Struthio camelus: one gene and its partner. The protein of the gene in region 2 purifies or fractionates together with the protein of the main gene of each other region. This does not show direct contact. Links are inferred from orthologs where the notes say so. Each region holds a gene or a part of one and is shown on either strand. Other genes may lie near its edges.

Evidence for each region. The genes of interacting proteins can lie anywhere in the genome.
Region 1: the proteins of TRAF3IP2 (region 2) and IKBKB purify together in Homo sapiens (affinity purification with western blotting; 3 studies listed by BioGRID, with this or other methods). This does not show direct contact. The link is inferred for Struthio camelus from reciprocal best matches to the Homo sapiens genes TRAF3IP2 and IKBKB.

The regions. Positions count from the first base shown.
Region 1 is NC_090968.1:7,907,801-7,914,776, reverse strand, and holds the start of IKBKB (inhibitor of nuclear factor kappa-B kinase subunit beta), read right to left. Parts: upstream 3,008-6,976; 5' UTR 2,923-3,007; coding exon 2,818-2,922; intron 2,718-2,817; coding exon 2,623-2,717; intron 1,885-2,622; coding exon 1,767-1,884; intron 1,028-1,766; coding exon 958-1,027; intron 1-957.
Region 2 is NC_090944.1:61,206,558-61,214,415, forward strand, and holds the start of TRAF3IP2 (E3 ubiquitin ligase TRAF3IP2), read right to left. Parts: upstream 3,009-7,858; 5' UTR 2,784-3,008; intron 414-2,783; exon of another isoform or gene 310-413; intron 1-309. UniProt on the Homo sapiens protein: E3 ubiquitin ligase that catalyzes 'Lys-63'-linked polyubiquitination of target protein, enhancing protein-protein interaction and cell signaling. Transfers ubiquitin from E2 ubiquitin-conjugating enzyme UBE2V1-UBE2N to substrate protein.

The DNA of each region.
Region 1 (6,976 bases), on a different chromosome or scaffold from region 2:
CCCTAGGAAGACCAGCTAAGCAGGGATTGTAAGTGATCCGAAGAACAAGTTATATCAATAGTTGAAAATGGTTCTGCTTGGTTGTGGTTCGGATCGCACAACTGGAGATTCAGAACCGTCCCTCTTGCCATATACACACAAGCACATAAACACAAACTGCGCTCTAAACGTAACCTACCACTGTCTCCGGTCAGTTCTAAGTATCTTTTCCTGGTCAGGAAGGGGGTAAAAGAATGCAGACAGCAGAGTACAAATGCTCTGGGAACATAAAGGACAGGAGATTCTGCCTAGCAGTAGGAGTACTAATGAACACGTGTTCCTCCTCTTGCCACAAGCTCGCTTTCTAAGGATCAACATGCCCCAAAACCACTTTTTGAATCTCTTCTCTTTAAAGCCTTAGCACCCGTCCACCTGCTTCACCTCAGCTGTGACCCACATAACAATAGCCCCCGACAACAACATAGCTTGCTAAAACAACAAAGAACAACAATCACCAGCCTGAAAGTCTCTAGACAGCTTTCTCTAATCTTTGCATCACACTGCAAACATCAGAACTGTCTCAAATTCCACATATTGGTGGCCCAAATGCTAATGGAAAACAACTGATCACACACACTCTGCAGTCCTGTTGATGAGCTAATAAACTGAGGGTGGAGAGATGATGTGCAATATAAACTGGAGTCACTTGGCAAGTGTTCAGCTATCCAGAACCTTCCAGGAAATCCTGAGTAGCATTTTTGCTGGGAAAGAAAATCCATCTCAACACTGGAATTTCAAGAACGGAAAAATCAGAGGTTAGCTTTCTTGGAGAGGACAGGCAGAACAAGACCGGAAGCAAGTATACCACTCAAGGGCCTAAGATGGAGCCATTAAGGTCACTGTCACATAGCCTTCAAGTGGATTCAGCAGTAAAGGGCTTCCACAGTTGGGACAACTGAAGATACTAATAACACTTACCAATATCAGACAACAAGATGAGAATAGCTTCTTCCCGCAAGCCACAGCAATTTTCCAGCTGATTCAGGTACTGCAAGAGAGCAGCACAGAACATAGGTAATCTTTCCCTCTTGTGTCCTAAGCGAGGGTCTACATCCCATAAGCTCTCAAGAATGTAAGAAGCTCCAGTGACAGCAAGGAAATGGGACTGGGACCTCTGGTAGCAATAGTTAGAGCTTAAGACCTTGGTCTATCCTGGAGAGGAGAAAGGGTGGCTAGAATAAATCAGTATCACCTCCATCCTCTTCCTTCTACCATCTCCACCCTTCATAGCCATTTCCCCTGTGCCTTGCATTATCAGCTCTAATCTCAGCTGTACACTCTGGGCTTTATCTACGGGCAAGTTATAGCAAAGGTTAAAAAAACACCAAGATCAGAATGGCCACAAATTATTTTTTCCTATGACAGATAGAGGTTTATCAGTTCCGGGAAGGATAACGCCCACAGATCTGCCCTATGATGCTCTTGGCCATGCTCACAGCCTGTCGTACATCCCTCTCACACACCCTCATCCTCTACATGCAAATTCCACAACCTATCACTTGTGGCCAGACAAACATAGAAAGTTTCAGAAAATATTTAAGTTTTTAGAAACGGAACTTTTCCGAGAACCAACCCACCAAACGTTGTAGCTACCGTGACATGAATTTGGAAGCAGCAGGGGACAAAAACAGAGCTTTTATACTCTGAACTAAACTTTTCTGAAGACAAACCCCAGGTCTCATCCTGCTGAGGCCCCTTAGTCACCATCTCCATCCCAGTGACCTCACCTTGCGGAGGTCTCCACCTTGGCAATACTCCATGGCCAACAGTGGCAAGTCATTTGGTGCAAGCTTCTGCATCCCTTCAGGGACATCACGGGCAGCCACTACATTGGGATGGTTCAGCCTAGGGAGTGGAAACGAGGCACATATACATATCACCTCAGCCACGGCAGAAACCTGAAAGCTGATCATTCTACAAGAGCTCCACAGCTTCATGTGCACGTGTCACTCTAAGCCCTACAGGGACGTTAATCCTTTTAGAAACCGAACCAGTGCATTCTCGAGGCCTGCAGTTCACTCATCCTTCACAGACCTAGAGACTCATCTCAACTCTTTGCATTCAGGGCACAGCGAGCGCGCATAGCCTCAGTGCGTGGTCAGTGCATTCCTCCAGTGAACAGGCACAACGGATCTCGGCAAGGCCTTTTCCTGTAGCTCCGAGGGAGGAGTCTAACGCAGCCTGTTAGCATCCTTCAAAAAAGATCCTACCTACTTTCAGGCTACTGCATCCCACACAAGTAATCCAGCGTCTTGAAAGAGAACCCAACAGAAACATTAAGTCAGGCCAAAGAGCAGCCACGCTGCAGAACTGTTATAACACTAGAGACAGCAGCACAACCTCTGGAGAACGAAGCCTTTAAACCTCGAGACGCAGAAGCTGAGAGAAAACACAACGCAAGGTTTTCTTGGGCGCGCCCCCGGCTCCTAGGCGCTGGCCTCCGTGGAGGGGTAGGCTCGCTCCGGGGCCGGGCAGCGGGTACCGCCTGCCTCTCCCGCCGTTCACCTCAGCGCCGCCGGGAGCGGCAGGCCGCGCGCAGGCCGCGCCCCGGCTCGGCGGCGGAGCGGCCGGCCTCGCCCTCACCTCTTCATGATCTGTATCTCCAGCGCCCAGCGGTCGCGGTTGCGCGGGCTCAGCTCCTGCCGGCACTGCTTGATGGCCAGCTGCTCGCCGGTCTCCTGCGGACACAGCGCGGGCTCGGCTGAGCGCGGCCGGGCCGGGCCGGGCCGGGCCGGGCCGGGCCGGGCGAGGGGGCCCGCCGCCGCCGCCGCCGCCTACCTTGTTGTGCCAGCGGATGACGTTGCCGAAGCCGCCGGTGCCGAGGCGCTCCTTCATCTCCCAGGGGCCGCAGGTCTGCGCCTGCAGGGCCGGCGGCCGGCTCATGGCGGGGCCGCGGCGCTCCGGCTCCGGCTCCGCAGGGCCTGGGCCGCGGCTGCGTCCGCTTCCGGCGCCAGGGGCACGTGGTGCGGCCGCCCGCCCCGAAAGGGGCCGCGGGCCGGGCGCGCTGCAGCCGCGCGGGGCGCCGCGAGCCGCCGGGGGGCGCCGCGAGCCCCCTCGTTCCCCCGGAGGTCGGTGGCGTCTGCTCGTCTGTCTGAAGTCGAGGACTCGGGGAAAGGGGGAGTAGAGCTCATGGGCTATTTAATTACCTAAAGTGACAGAGCAGCTGTCTCCTTCCCACAACTTCATTAAAATCTGCTAAAGGTACTGAAATGTACATTTTATCTCAGCCCCCACCACCCCAAATCAAAGTACCATTCTGCGCATTACATCATTTTTAGGTATTGCTTTCTCCTGACGACTTGCTATGGGTTGGGTGAAGTTAGGTGCTTTAATGCCACTGCAAACTCATGCATGGTGGCACAGGGAGGGAAGCATGCAGCTCGACATGCAGCACAGGCAGTCACATCCACTGCAGGCTGCCAGGGCCACCAAGCACAGCTGTGCCATTGGGGGAGGGAATGTAGGCCAACAGCAGACCACAAGCATGGCACAGCTAGACAGCTGAATCCACTCAATGTGTTTGTACAAAAGTTTATCCTATCTCTTGTCAATAACCTCTGTTCTGTTGCCAGCTTCTGCTAAACAAACACATCACACGGCACTTCTTCCTCCATTGCTTCCAGTCTTGGAGGCCTCTCTTAGCTAACTGCAATTCCAAAGAGACACCTGTACTGTAGCCAGAAAAGATTAAGTGGTCTGTGCTTACCTCGAAGGAGCTAACTACTCTGAGTTCTGGGCACAGTAAGAGCGAGCCTGTTGGGGAAGGAACTGCCAGTCTGACGGAAAAGGAATGCAACTGCTGCCCAGGAGGAACAACTGCTCCTGCGCGCTAAGCCTCTTTGAGAGGGAGGGGGGAAAGTAAAAGTGAAGGCAGACCAAAGATGGAACGGTATGGGAGCATCCGATGCCAAAGTCTGCCCTATTCTGTATTGCTGTTCCTTTGAAAAAGGATTAACAGTTCGTTGTTTCTCAGTTACACAAAGAGCTTTCTTCACTATAAACGTTTGGATGAGCTTAGGCATTCTGAAGAATACAAACTGCTTGATCAACCATCTCTGGATTACATTCTGAGGGTGTAACGCCAGCTGAAGATGACAGGTCTGAGCTATGAGTATTTAGCTGGATGAAACTGGATGAAAGCAAAGAATATTCAGAGTCCTGCTAGGCTGCCAGAATACTTAGCTAAGGATCTAGAGGGGATTCGCAATCCAACACGTCATGAGGCACTATCAGTACACCTAAACTATTTATGCTTATGAACTAGTTTTGTGAAGAGCTGCAATACCACTTTTAGACTGCAATGCAAGCAAATCCCTAGTCTTTGCCATTATGCTAAATGGCATAAACTCGACAAATTTTTCAACTGTTCTTTCAGGTGTGGTCATTTTGTACTAAGGATTCCAAAGAATCTTGCCTCCACTATGCACATGGCCTGCAGCCCATTTTCTAAACAATTTTTCAGGCTCTTCTTGGGTACAAAAGCTACTAATTGCTGATAAACAGGTAGATCTGAATCAGAGCACAGCGTACATGGGATGGGAAGACAACGACACACTGTGTCCTTAATAGTTACGGATCTGGTTACAACCCTCCTCTTAACCCAGGCTTCTACAGCAGAATTTTGCTCACACATTCAGAAGCAGAGCTGTCAGATCAGGATACTGATGCCTGGACTATTAAGTCTTTACAGAACAGCTATGACCAGTCTCCCAGTTGCCCATCTAATTCCTGTTCAAACTAGATGATTGCCACTCAGGAAAGGCATAGAGAAAGCCTGTTACAGCCTCATAACTCTTCAGGAAAAAAAAAAACAATGCTCTTCCTGTGTCAGTTAGTGGCCTGACAGGAAGTCCTTGGTTAAGCACAGAGTCTCTTCACCTAGTACCAAGTACCCATGTGAGAATAAGGAGCTGTTGCTGATAATCATTTTCAGCAACATATTTATAAAGCTTATTTATAAACTTATTTATAAAACTAAGACTTAGTAACTAATCAGAGTGAGGCCAGCCTAGGTGGAGAAGACAGCACAGGGTGAAACAGTACTGTTATTCAAATAACAGAGCTCAGAGAAGGTGCAGAGTGAAGTGACCACAATAAACTTGGCTTCTGGCATTAGACTGAACTTACTTATCAGGACAGAAATGCATCAATACATCCTACGAGAGGAGACGGAGGTTTGGCAGTCACTGCACTGAAAGAAGACAGTCAAGATCAGCTGCTCAACACATACCTTCCAGGACAAAAGCACATTCCGTATCCTGATTGCTCAGGAAAGCTGCTGCCCAAAGAGAGTGCCAGAAATCCTCCACAGCTATGGCAGCAAAGGATTGCCAGAAGGGGGACGCACAGACTTCTGACATGGTTATTGAGGTTTTGTTACCAAAAGTCCATCTCTAGAGAATGCAGGCAACTGGCGTCCCTGCCAGTAGCATCCATTTTCAAAAAAGTCTATCCTCCTTACTGCTAGAACACTTCATCAAATTACTTCTGTGCATCAAAACATTCAGACCTAGTCACAAGCAGAACAACGGCAGAATCTGAGTAGCTTTTTGCACGTACTTCAAGTAACGCTGAGAATAATCCCTAAGAGGATTTTGTATAAGGCAGAGGTACAGTGACTATAAAGCAGTGATCTGTGCAAATACTTTATTCATACCACAACATACTTCTTTCACCTTAGCAGACAGTGAACTTTCCCCCATGAAACCAGAAAATGGCTTCATTTTATATCTACATTGGTAGAGAGGTTCCAGCAAACGTGCAACAGAGGGGGCTCTTGAACTTAAGCTGCCTGGAGCGCTGCTCTCTTTACTGCCTTGTGCCCAAACTCTGCATGCTGCAAACACACACACACACACACACTCCAACAACCCCGAAAAGCCCAGCTCCAAAGAAAACATCCAACCCCATAATACTATTGTTTAACGCATTTAGCAATAAGCAGTATTGCAATTCACTGAGAGCTATACGCATGAGAGAACCTAACACTCTAGAGTCCGTCTTGTCAGATACCTATCTGCCACTCATGCAGATACCTATCTCCTGCTACCCTAGTTTCAATGTCTCACTCATCCATCACATATCATTATCCTGGGACACAGATTTCTACACCGAACGGTTTCATAAATATCATTTAAGATACAAAGCTAATGCAGAAAGATATGGCTAAGAGCAGCACCCTTCTTCAGGAGGGTGCAGTCTCTGACACACAGTTGCTTCAGCAGTGAGCATGCACCTTCCTCTCTAGAGAGAGCGGAGGGCGACAGGCAGCTCTTTGGAGCAGGACCGTGTTATGCTTGGTTTGATATGCTGACGTACACGTTTATAATGGGATATTCGAAGAAGCACAATTAGATTTACATCCAGTCTGGGCACCTCTGAATGTACTCTCTACCACTTAATAATAAAAATAAAGCTGGAACAGTTTATAGGTCTTCTACGTAAGACAAGTAACAAGTTGGATTTAGGACTGTCTGCATTTGGACACTTAAAACTGATTTTTAAAGGTATTTAGCTGTCTACCATAGGTGACAATTACTTGTTTTTAAAATATCAATCTAATCCTAATTATTAGTATGGACAACCATGCAAAGGGAAGCAACCTCAACATTGGTCTGTCACAGAGAGATGAAACTGTTGATGCAGTCTTTACTGTGATGAGGATAGCACATATACATGTGAAGTAATACTGTCTGTGAAGAAAAACAAAAAACAACTCCCCCCCAAAAGGCACCCCCCCCCCCCCCCAAAACATGAATTCCAGTGCTCTCAGCATCTCCAGAGATCACCTGAGCCCTTCACCAAGAGCTATGCACACTACCGGAAAAAGGCATAGCAGATTAAACTTTTCTCTAGAGATTAAAGTTCTCAACTTAGCATCTTTTAATGTTGTTAAATAGACCCGACCCCAACCTTCCAATTTCCAGGTTTGATATGT
Region 2 (7,858 bases):
TAAAAAAAAAAACAAAAAAACCAACAACAAAAAACCCCCAAAACCCCAAACCAGGCATGCAGTGAAATGGCTGAAACATGTTGTAACCATCTGTGAAACTCAGGCTATCATTACCGAGGGGGGGGGGGGGAAGGGGGGGGGAGGGGAACAAAACCGGAGAGAGAGAGAGAGAGAGAGAGAGAGAGAGAGAAATTTGAGGGAACAACCCCCCCGCCACCCGCCCCAGACACGCAAACCAAGAAACGAAAGTGGGTCACCAGCCAACCGCAAACAGGGACCGAAAACAGCAGCGCCCTTCACGCTTCCTACCTTGAAGGTGAAAGAGGCTCAGGCCAAGCCGCCCCAGGGAGCTGAAAGGGGCTGGGGTGTCTCCGACCCAACTCCTTCGCTCTGCGCGCGTCCGGGCCGCTCTCCTTGGCCAGGAGATATAAATATATATATATATATTTATATGTGTGTGTGTTTGTGTGTGTGCATATATATATATATATATATATTTTTTTTTTTTTTTTCTTCCCCCTCTCTCTTTCCTCCTTTTACGACACCCTCCCTCCGCCTCGCCCAGGTGAGCTGCAGGACAGGCTCGGCAGCAGGAAGAGGAAGGCGCAAAGGGATGATGAGGAGCGGGAAGGCTGCGTCTGCGGCCGGCGGCGAGCCACGCAGCGGAGCAGAGCCGCCCCGGAGCGCCGGCGGCCCGTGGGAGCGCGAAGGCTGCGCGTCTCCCTTCCCCGCCGCCCCGTCCCCTCCGAGAGGCGGCCGGGCTGCTTCTGTTTGAACCCTATGGGCAAAGGGCTGCAGGGGAAACCCAGCGCGATTCCTGAACAATGATGTGCAGTGTCCCAGGAAAACTCATCCTCCTCCTTTTTTTTAAAAAAAAAAAAAAACAAAAAAAAACTCGGTTACTTATCGTCAATTCCCCGAGTGTGATTCAGACTACCAAGGAGGGGAAGGAAAAAAAAAAATCGCGTGATGAGTGTGAAAGTTATACAAAGTATGAAAACAATTTCTTGTCTTTTTTTTTTTTTTTACAGTCAGACTTTTAAATGCTTCCAGGCTTTTCGCTGAGCTCCTGAGGAGCACAAGCTCACTTTTACACAAGCTGCAATCCCTACACCTTCGCGTAACCCCAGCGGGAACAGCACGGCGCGATGGGTTTTTAAGCCACCCGATAAATCACGCTGCGTGCTCAGGCAGCGCCAGGCTGCTCGCCACGACCACGTCCCCGCGCTGGCTGGCGTTGCGCGTCCCGGGGCTGCAAAGCTTTCACGACTTCCCTGCGCCCTACGTCTCGCTGTCCAGGAGCTCTTCCTGATCCCGAGCCTGCGTTGGCTTAATTTTAACCCTCGCAGGAGCCTGCCTCACAGGTCCTGGCTGCGGGCTTGTGCGCCGCTCTGGGCGATCCCTGTCCGCCTCGCCCCGCAGACATTTATAGGCTGCCGTCGCGCACGCCCTTAACGCTTGACCAGCCAGCCTGCGCGCGCGGAGCTGCTTAAATCGCCCCCTGAAGTCAGTCGCTTCAGCGTTGCCTTCCTCTCTCATTCCTGGGCAGCAGCAGCAGAGGAGAGAGCCGCCGCCGCCACCCGCCGCGTCCCCCGGTGTCCTCCCGCGGGGGGACGAAGCGGCACCCGCCGGGCCCTTTGCTCTCTCCCTGCTCCCCGTGAAATTTCGGCTCGCCGGTTGCCAACTGAGCGCCGGGGCGGCCCGGGGCCCTCTTCCCTACTCGCCTCCCCCCCAACCGGCCGGGGCGCTGCTTGTGCTCACAAGGCTGAATCCCAAATAACTCTCTGCTAGTAGTTTCTTCCCTCAGAAGAGCATTAGCTCTCTAGCTTTTAATGCCCGTGGCAGCGGGGAAAAAAACGTGTCCCCTTGGCTGCCCACAAACGGCCCAGGCTTTCCGCTGCCCGAGGCAGCTGCCCAGCTCTGCCAGGGGGCCGCAGCCGGCCCCGGGGGCCAGGAGCGGCCCTGCTCCCGCGGCCCTTTTCACATCAGCTCGCCTTTTAAACCCTCTGGTTGCAACCCAAACCCAGCGTTTCTGCTGCAGGGCCAACGGCGGCGTTTTTAGCCAGGCCGCTTTTGTCAGGGGAAAGGGGGCTCTGCTCCCAGCCCCTTCCAAAACTGGTGTTACAAGGTGCACGCCTGGTGAACGCAGAGCTACAGCAAGGCAGACGCCGGCCGCAGCTGCCCGGCCGGGGCGCGCAGGGCGCCCGGCGCAAGTGACGCGGCCCTGGGCTGGGGGCTCTCCGCTTCCCGGCCGGCTGCATCCTGGCGGTGACTCACTCAGGCAAGCTCGGCCCGATGCCGTATTCACTCACTTATAAAAAAGACAGGAATTTGCTGCAAAAACTGAGAGAGGCTGGTTTCTGTTCCTGTCAAGGGAGGGGAAAAAACAGGAGGTAGGAGCCCTCCCTGGTCTCCTCCGGCTTGGCCAGGGCGCGAGGGCGGAGGGAGGGAAAGCGGGCGCGCTGACGAGCGGGACGCTTCCCTTTCCTTGCAGGCGGCAGAGGCGAGGAGGAGACGAGCGAGCGCATCAGCAGAGCCAAGCGTAATGGGCATCCGCATCGCCGTTTAGCTGGCGCGACGGCCTGCGCAGGCAGAAGGGGACGCGTAGCCGTCGTCCCCGCAGCGCGCGTTAAGCGCCTCTCCTTCTCAAGGGCGAAACGTTTCCCAGTTACGCGCACGCAGGGTACTTCTTTGGCAGCCCGACCGCCGACCCTCCCAAACCCAGCCCCCAGGCTCGCTCCTCTCGTAGCGAACTTGGGCAGACACCGCGTAACGTTACTTACAAGCCCCTGACAGACTTGGCTCCGAAAGCATCAAGCAGCCAGGGCTCCTCAGCCGCTGCGGCATTGCGGCAGCGAAAGGGTCGCGCGGGTCGGGAGCCGCGCGCGCACGGGCCGGCGCCGGGAGCTCTCGGATGACAGCCAGCAGCCCGAAACGTCCAGGGGAAGACGTCTCGCGAGGAGCTGACAGCTGCCTGCTGGCCGCCCGCAGCCTCTCTGACCCTGCGCGAGGGGAAATGGCAGCCAGCAGATGAAAACGATTCGCAGCTTCTTGTGGCCCCTTCATGGTTTCCCTTCTGTTACTATGGAAATGCACACGGGTTGGCAGAAGAAAAGGTATAAGCACGCACACAGAGAAACAAAGTGCAATGTATCTTTAAAAAAAAAAACAAAAAAAAAACAGATTAGAGATTTTAAAGAAGTGCGAGGAGCAGTTACAAAGCCTCTCTACTCCTTCTCCAGCTTTCCTTTTCTTTCTTTTTTAAAGGATCGTTGGAAACATTACTATTGCTTTTATGAATGCAGTTGTAGCTTGGGGCCTAATATCACAATATGGCAGAGCTGCTTCTGAAGGCAGGATGCTGCAGTGAGAACGTAATAGTCCTGCCGGCTGCTCTTGCAGGATCGGACCCAATAGAGGAATGATTGATCTATGAAAAAAATACATCAGGTAAAAAAGTTTGCATTTCAGTTTACCTGTGACTTGCTGTCTACATCCCCCCCCACCCCAGTAGTATTTTATTCTTGCACAGGCTGCAGCATCAGTCCCTGTTATTATCGAACAACCAGATGCTTCAGTTCCTACTCAGAGGTGCGGAAAGAGTGGCAGTAGCTTAAAGCATCCTCATCATGCAGCCAAGCAGATTTTTATGCTCTTACAAACGAGAAGCTGGTGCCCCTCAAAAGGAAGAGACCGTAGTTTTCATTTAATTAATGTGATATTTGGAAAAAACGGACAAGCCTGTGAAAACACCAGCCTTTCTTACAGCCAAAGACATGCCTTCTTTCCTTGCCAATATATATCAGTTCCTATCTACATGACTGCTTATGCATCACACCCTAAAGCATCACAAGGTATTAAAAAATTAACTAGCCCAGGAGAGGGGACCAGAGCTGCAAGCCACGGGGTGGAGGCACCGCTGGGCTTTGGCACATGCTGAGTTAGAAAGTCTCTGAGTAGCAGCTTCTGGGGCAAAACCAGGGATTGGGGAAGGGAGCATCACCCAAGTCGGGGTTTGGAGCACCTGCCCAAGGAGCCCAGCCCTACATCCCAGCAAACATCTGCGACTGAGTTAGGACTAGATCACTAAACTCCCAAATCCTCTTTAACCATAAATCCCGCCTTCCTCTCCTAAGGAAACACCGAGATTCAGACTTGCGCCTGCCACACGCCAGGGCCTTTCCCAGGGGCTCAATTACAGCCTCCTCGGGAGGGGATGGAGCCCCACTCAGGCAGGTGGAAAGTGTTTACCGGTTATTATGGGAGGAGGAGATGGGCGGGTAGCTGGCTCGTCACCAGGCTGAGCTTCGTTAGCCCAGCAGCGCTCCTCACCCGGGACGATGACCGAACTGCTCCAGATGGGAGGCTTTTTGCCTGAGCTAAAAGCACTCCAGCTATTTCGCCTGCTCGCTGACCTCCGCACCGGTGGGATGCTGGCGGCCTGCCCAGGAGCAGCGTGCGGCAGCTGACGGCCCTGGCTGCAGCCCGTGGTGGCAAAAGGCTGCAAGGGGGTCCAAAGCCACACAGGAGTCAAAATCAGGGCCTCGAGCACGTGCCTTGGCTGGTGGACGCCTTGCAGTTAGCGCCTGGCTGTAGCAGCCGGCAGAGCTGGGCAGATTTATTTCCGCAACGAGGGTGTCATTATCTTTGGTGTTGCAGCTGATACGTGCAGGCAGGGTGGGAGAGGGGAGGGAAAGCTGTTCTGATTAGTACCTGATGTTCCTGGAGTTCAAATAAAACGCTTACACGGTTCCTATAGTGCCTTGATCAGCTCCTGCTCCCGGCTGCAGGGAACTGCGGGAAGAGTCGCCCCGGGGGAACGGCGGCCAGAGCCTCGCGGGTGGGTGGCACTTAGCGCTTCTCAGCTTCGCCCAGCGGGGCGGGCTCCCTTTCTCACGAGGGCTATGAAAAGTCTTCTGTCCTTCTCCACCGTTTATACACCGGACATGAGGCTAGACCCACCAGTAAATGACAGCAGCTGCCGGCCTCCCCCCTCCATCCAAGATAGCTGCAAGCCTGTCGGAGGAAAGAGGCTGTGGCTGTAATCACCAGCCAAGGGTCCTCGCCAGGGTCTCGATCCAGTGCGGCTCGTGGTGGCCGGCGTGCGTTTGAGGCTCTATGGGACACGGCTGGATGGAGAAATGGCAAAGCCACAGGCTGTTGGCTTCAACTGGCTGCATAGAAATGCCCCTGGCAGTTAGGTAGCCTCATTCAGTGTTCAGTCTCCTGGGGTTATTTCTGTTCTGACCGCGTGTACATATCTTTATTTGAAGTGGTGTTTGCGGCGCAAAGGAAGGAGCGCGGAGCAGCCTGCCTCCTCAAGGACATGATGCCCTGGGAGCACTGTGTGAAATCTGGCCTTCATGTCAGCGCTCCCAGGTCCATCAGTCACGCCTGCAGGCCTAAGGATATCTGTGGCCGCGACTGAAGGACCAGTCTCTGTCCCCTCTTTAGCTTGCCAAACCCCAGAAAGCAGCAGGTACTGGGAGTATTTCATCTCACTTGAGCTTCACGTACTTCATGAGCCTGAGAGACAGGGAAAAAAACCTGAAAGGCGCTCTCTGCACACTGTTAACAGCACTGTTGGCAGAGTAGGGTTTAAAAGCAAAGACAAAGTCCAGCCTGAACCTAAGCCCCCCCCCCCCCCCAAAGTTGTAGACCTGCTGCCAGTTTTGGATTAGGAAACTTAGAGAATAGGTATCTCAGTTTATTTCAGCACTGCAAATACTGAAAGCCTGTCTCTCTCCTTCCCCAAAATCAAGGCTACAGTAATTGCTTTCTGAAGGCCTCTTTTCTGTTTCTGGAATCTTCCCGCTCACTTCACTGGAAGCTGGATCAAGCTCTGAACTCTTTAAAGTTAGTATCTCATCTGTACACTATTTTAAAGCAGACTGTGATGTGTCATATTGGGGGCCCATCATGGAAAGTACAGATTAACATTCAAACACAGGGTGACTATTTCATTGGCAAGGCAGATAATGTGAAGCCTTTTTGTAGTGAGCAGTCGCTGGTCCTTCAGGAGTTGGAAAATTTCTTGTCTGTTAGGCAGAAAACGTCAGTGTTGAGTGCCACTTCTTATATTTTCTACTGCATCTATTTATTCCGAAAACTCTCTCAATCATAAATGTTTTGCTTCCAAATGATTAACTGCTCGAAAAAAAGCACTGTAATATTGCTTGACTTTTAAAAATTAGTGGAGCGAATTTATGAAGAAACATTACGACGACCATTTCATTGCTTAGTGTAACGTTTGTGACCACCGCTTTCTCCAGTTGCCTGCACTCCGCTAGCTCCTCCCTGGCTCTGCACCGCGAGGGAAACGGGCCCTTTCTTCCCTCTCCTGCTGTTTAAATTGCCAGGCACGTGCCTACAGACATCTTCTCCACTAATTTTTTTTAGGCCTTTGCTTTGGCATTTGTTAGTTACGCCCCGAGAGACACCTAAACGGAACGAAAGTGGTACCTATACGTTCGCTTACGCAATGCTTCTAATTAAGCCTTGCAAAATGACAAAAACCCTCTTGCCATTTGTTAAAATTTTCCCCACAGCCTTATGTATCCTCTTAATTAAGAGCAGAAGCTAGAGAGTAATACCTATTTTATTCCCCCTCGCTTCCAATTAGTCATCCATTGATCATTACCCACTCGACGTTTGACAATGAGCAGAGCCGCCACTCTCAGCAAGGCCAGGGTAGCGGTATGTATTTCTGCAGCAATGACACGTCTGAAATAACGCAAGTGGAGCAGCGTGGGTGAGTGATGGGGCGAGAGGTAGGGGGAAGGGGAAGGGGAGGCCACCCATGTGGAACAAAAGACGCGTAACATATGCAAATGTTCAGTATGTGGTATGTGCTGTAGACGCGGGACGTATGTGATGAGGTCATACACAAAGCTCGGCTGGAGGCCTCACTGTGTTGGGGAGGCATGGGAATTTGCGGGAAAAACTTCAGTTCTCCTCTGATCAAAAGTACCTAGTCCTCTTCCTTGAAGACGTAAATCAGTTCCTGTTGTGGCTCTTTGCCGTTGCTGTTTCTAGAAGACCAGGAGTTTATCATCTGCTGCTCGGTAGTCACCCAGGCTGGGGTCTGAGGCTTGCACAAACGCAGCTCACTTCAAGTCTCTGCCGGCCCCAGACCAGCTTGCAGGAATGCCCAGGCTGCAGAGGGTGGCTGGCCGGAGAGTGTACCAGCCCTCCGGCAACGGCCCAGGACCCTTTTGCTAGGACCATTGCAGCAGGTTTTGAACACCCCAGGACCCTTCCTGTGCAAGTAGCAGATTCTGGCTGGGAAAATTCAGCTGCCTTAATCACAGAAGCAAATAAAGTGCAGGTGAAGCCAAGGCATTTGGGCAGGCTTTTGGCATGTAGCTCAGCTCCAGGTCTGCGGATAAGGCTGTAACAGTTGAGAAAGCTTTCCTGCAGCCTTTTCTTCTCCCTTCCCTCCCTCCCCCCCCCCCCCCCCCCCAATGAAAATGCACCATTACAGGCCCATGCATCTGTTACAGGCCTCGGGGATTTTGTACGTGGCTGTGACAGTAGGTATCTGAGCAAACTTCACGAGACTCCAGGTGCGGGGCTCAGTAGCAAAGGCTGATGCATAAAAAAGCAAATCAGAGCCCTCAGCAAGCTATGCCTCTGCTGTGGAGGAAGGAGGATAATCTCATTTCTTTGCTCTTTGCCCTTTTTGCTATTCACAGAGCTTAATGCTGAATTATTCCCAACAATGAGCAGAACAATCAAACTCCCATCTGGCTTACTCAGTCAGACGTAACACTTTCCCTTCAGTCACGGACACGCCGCTCTTGCAATTTCTTGACCAACTTAAATATATTCTGTTTACCCTCCCCCTTCCCTTCTCCCC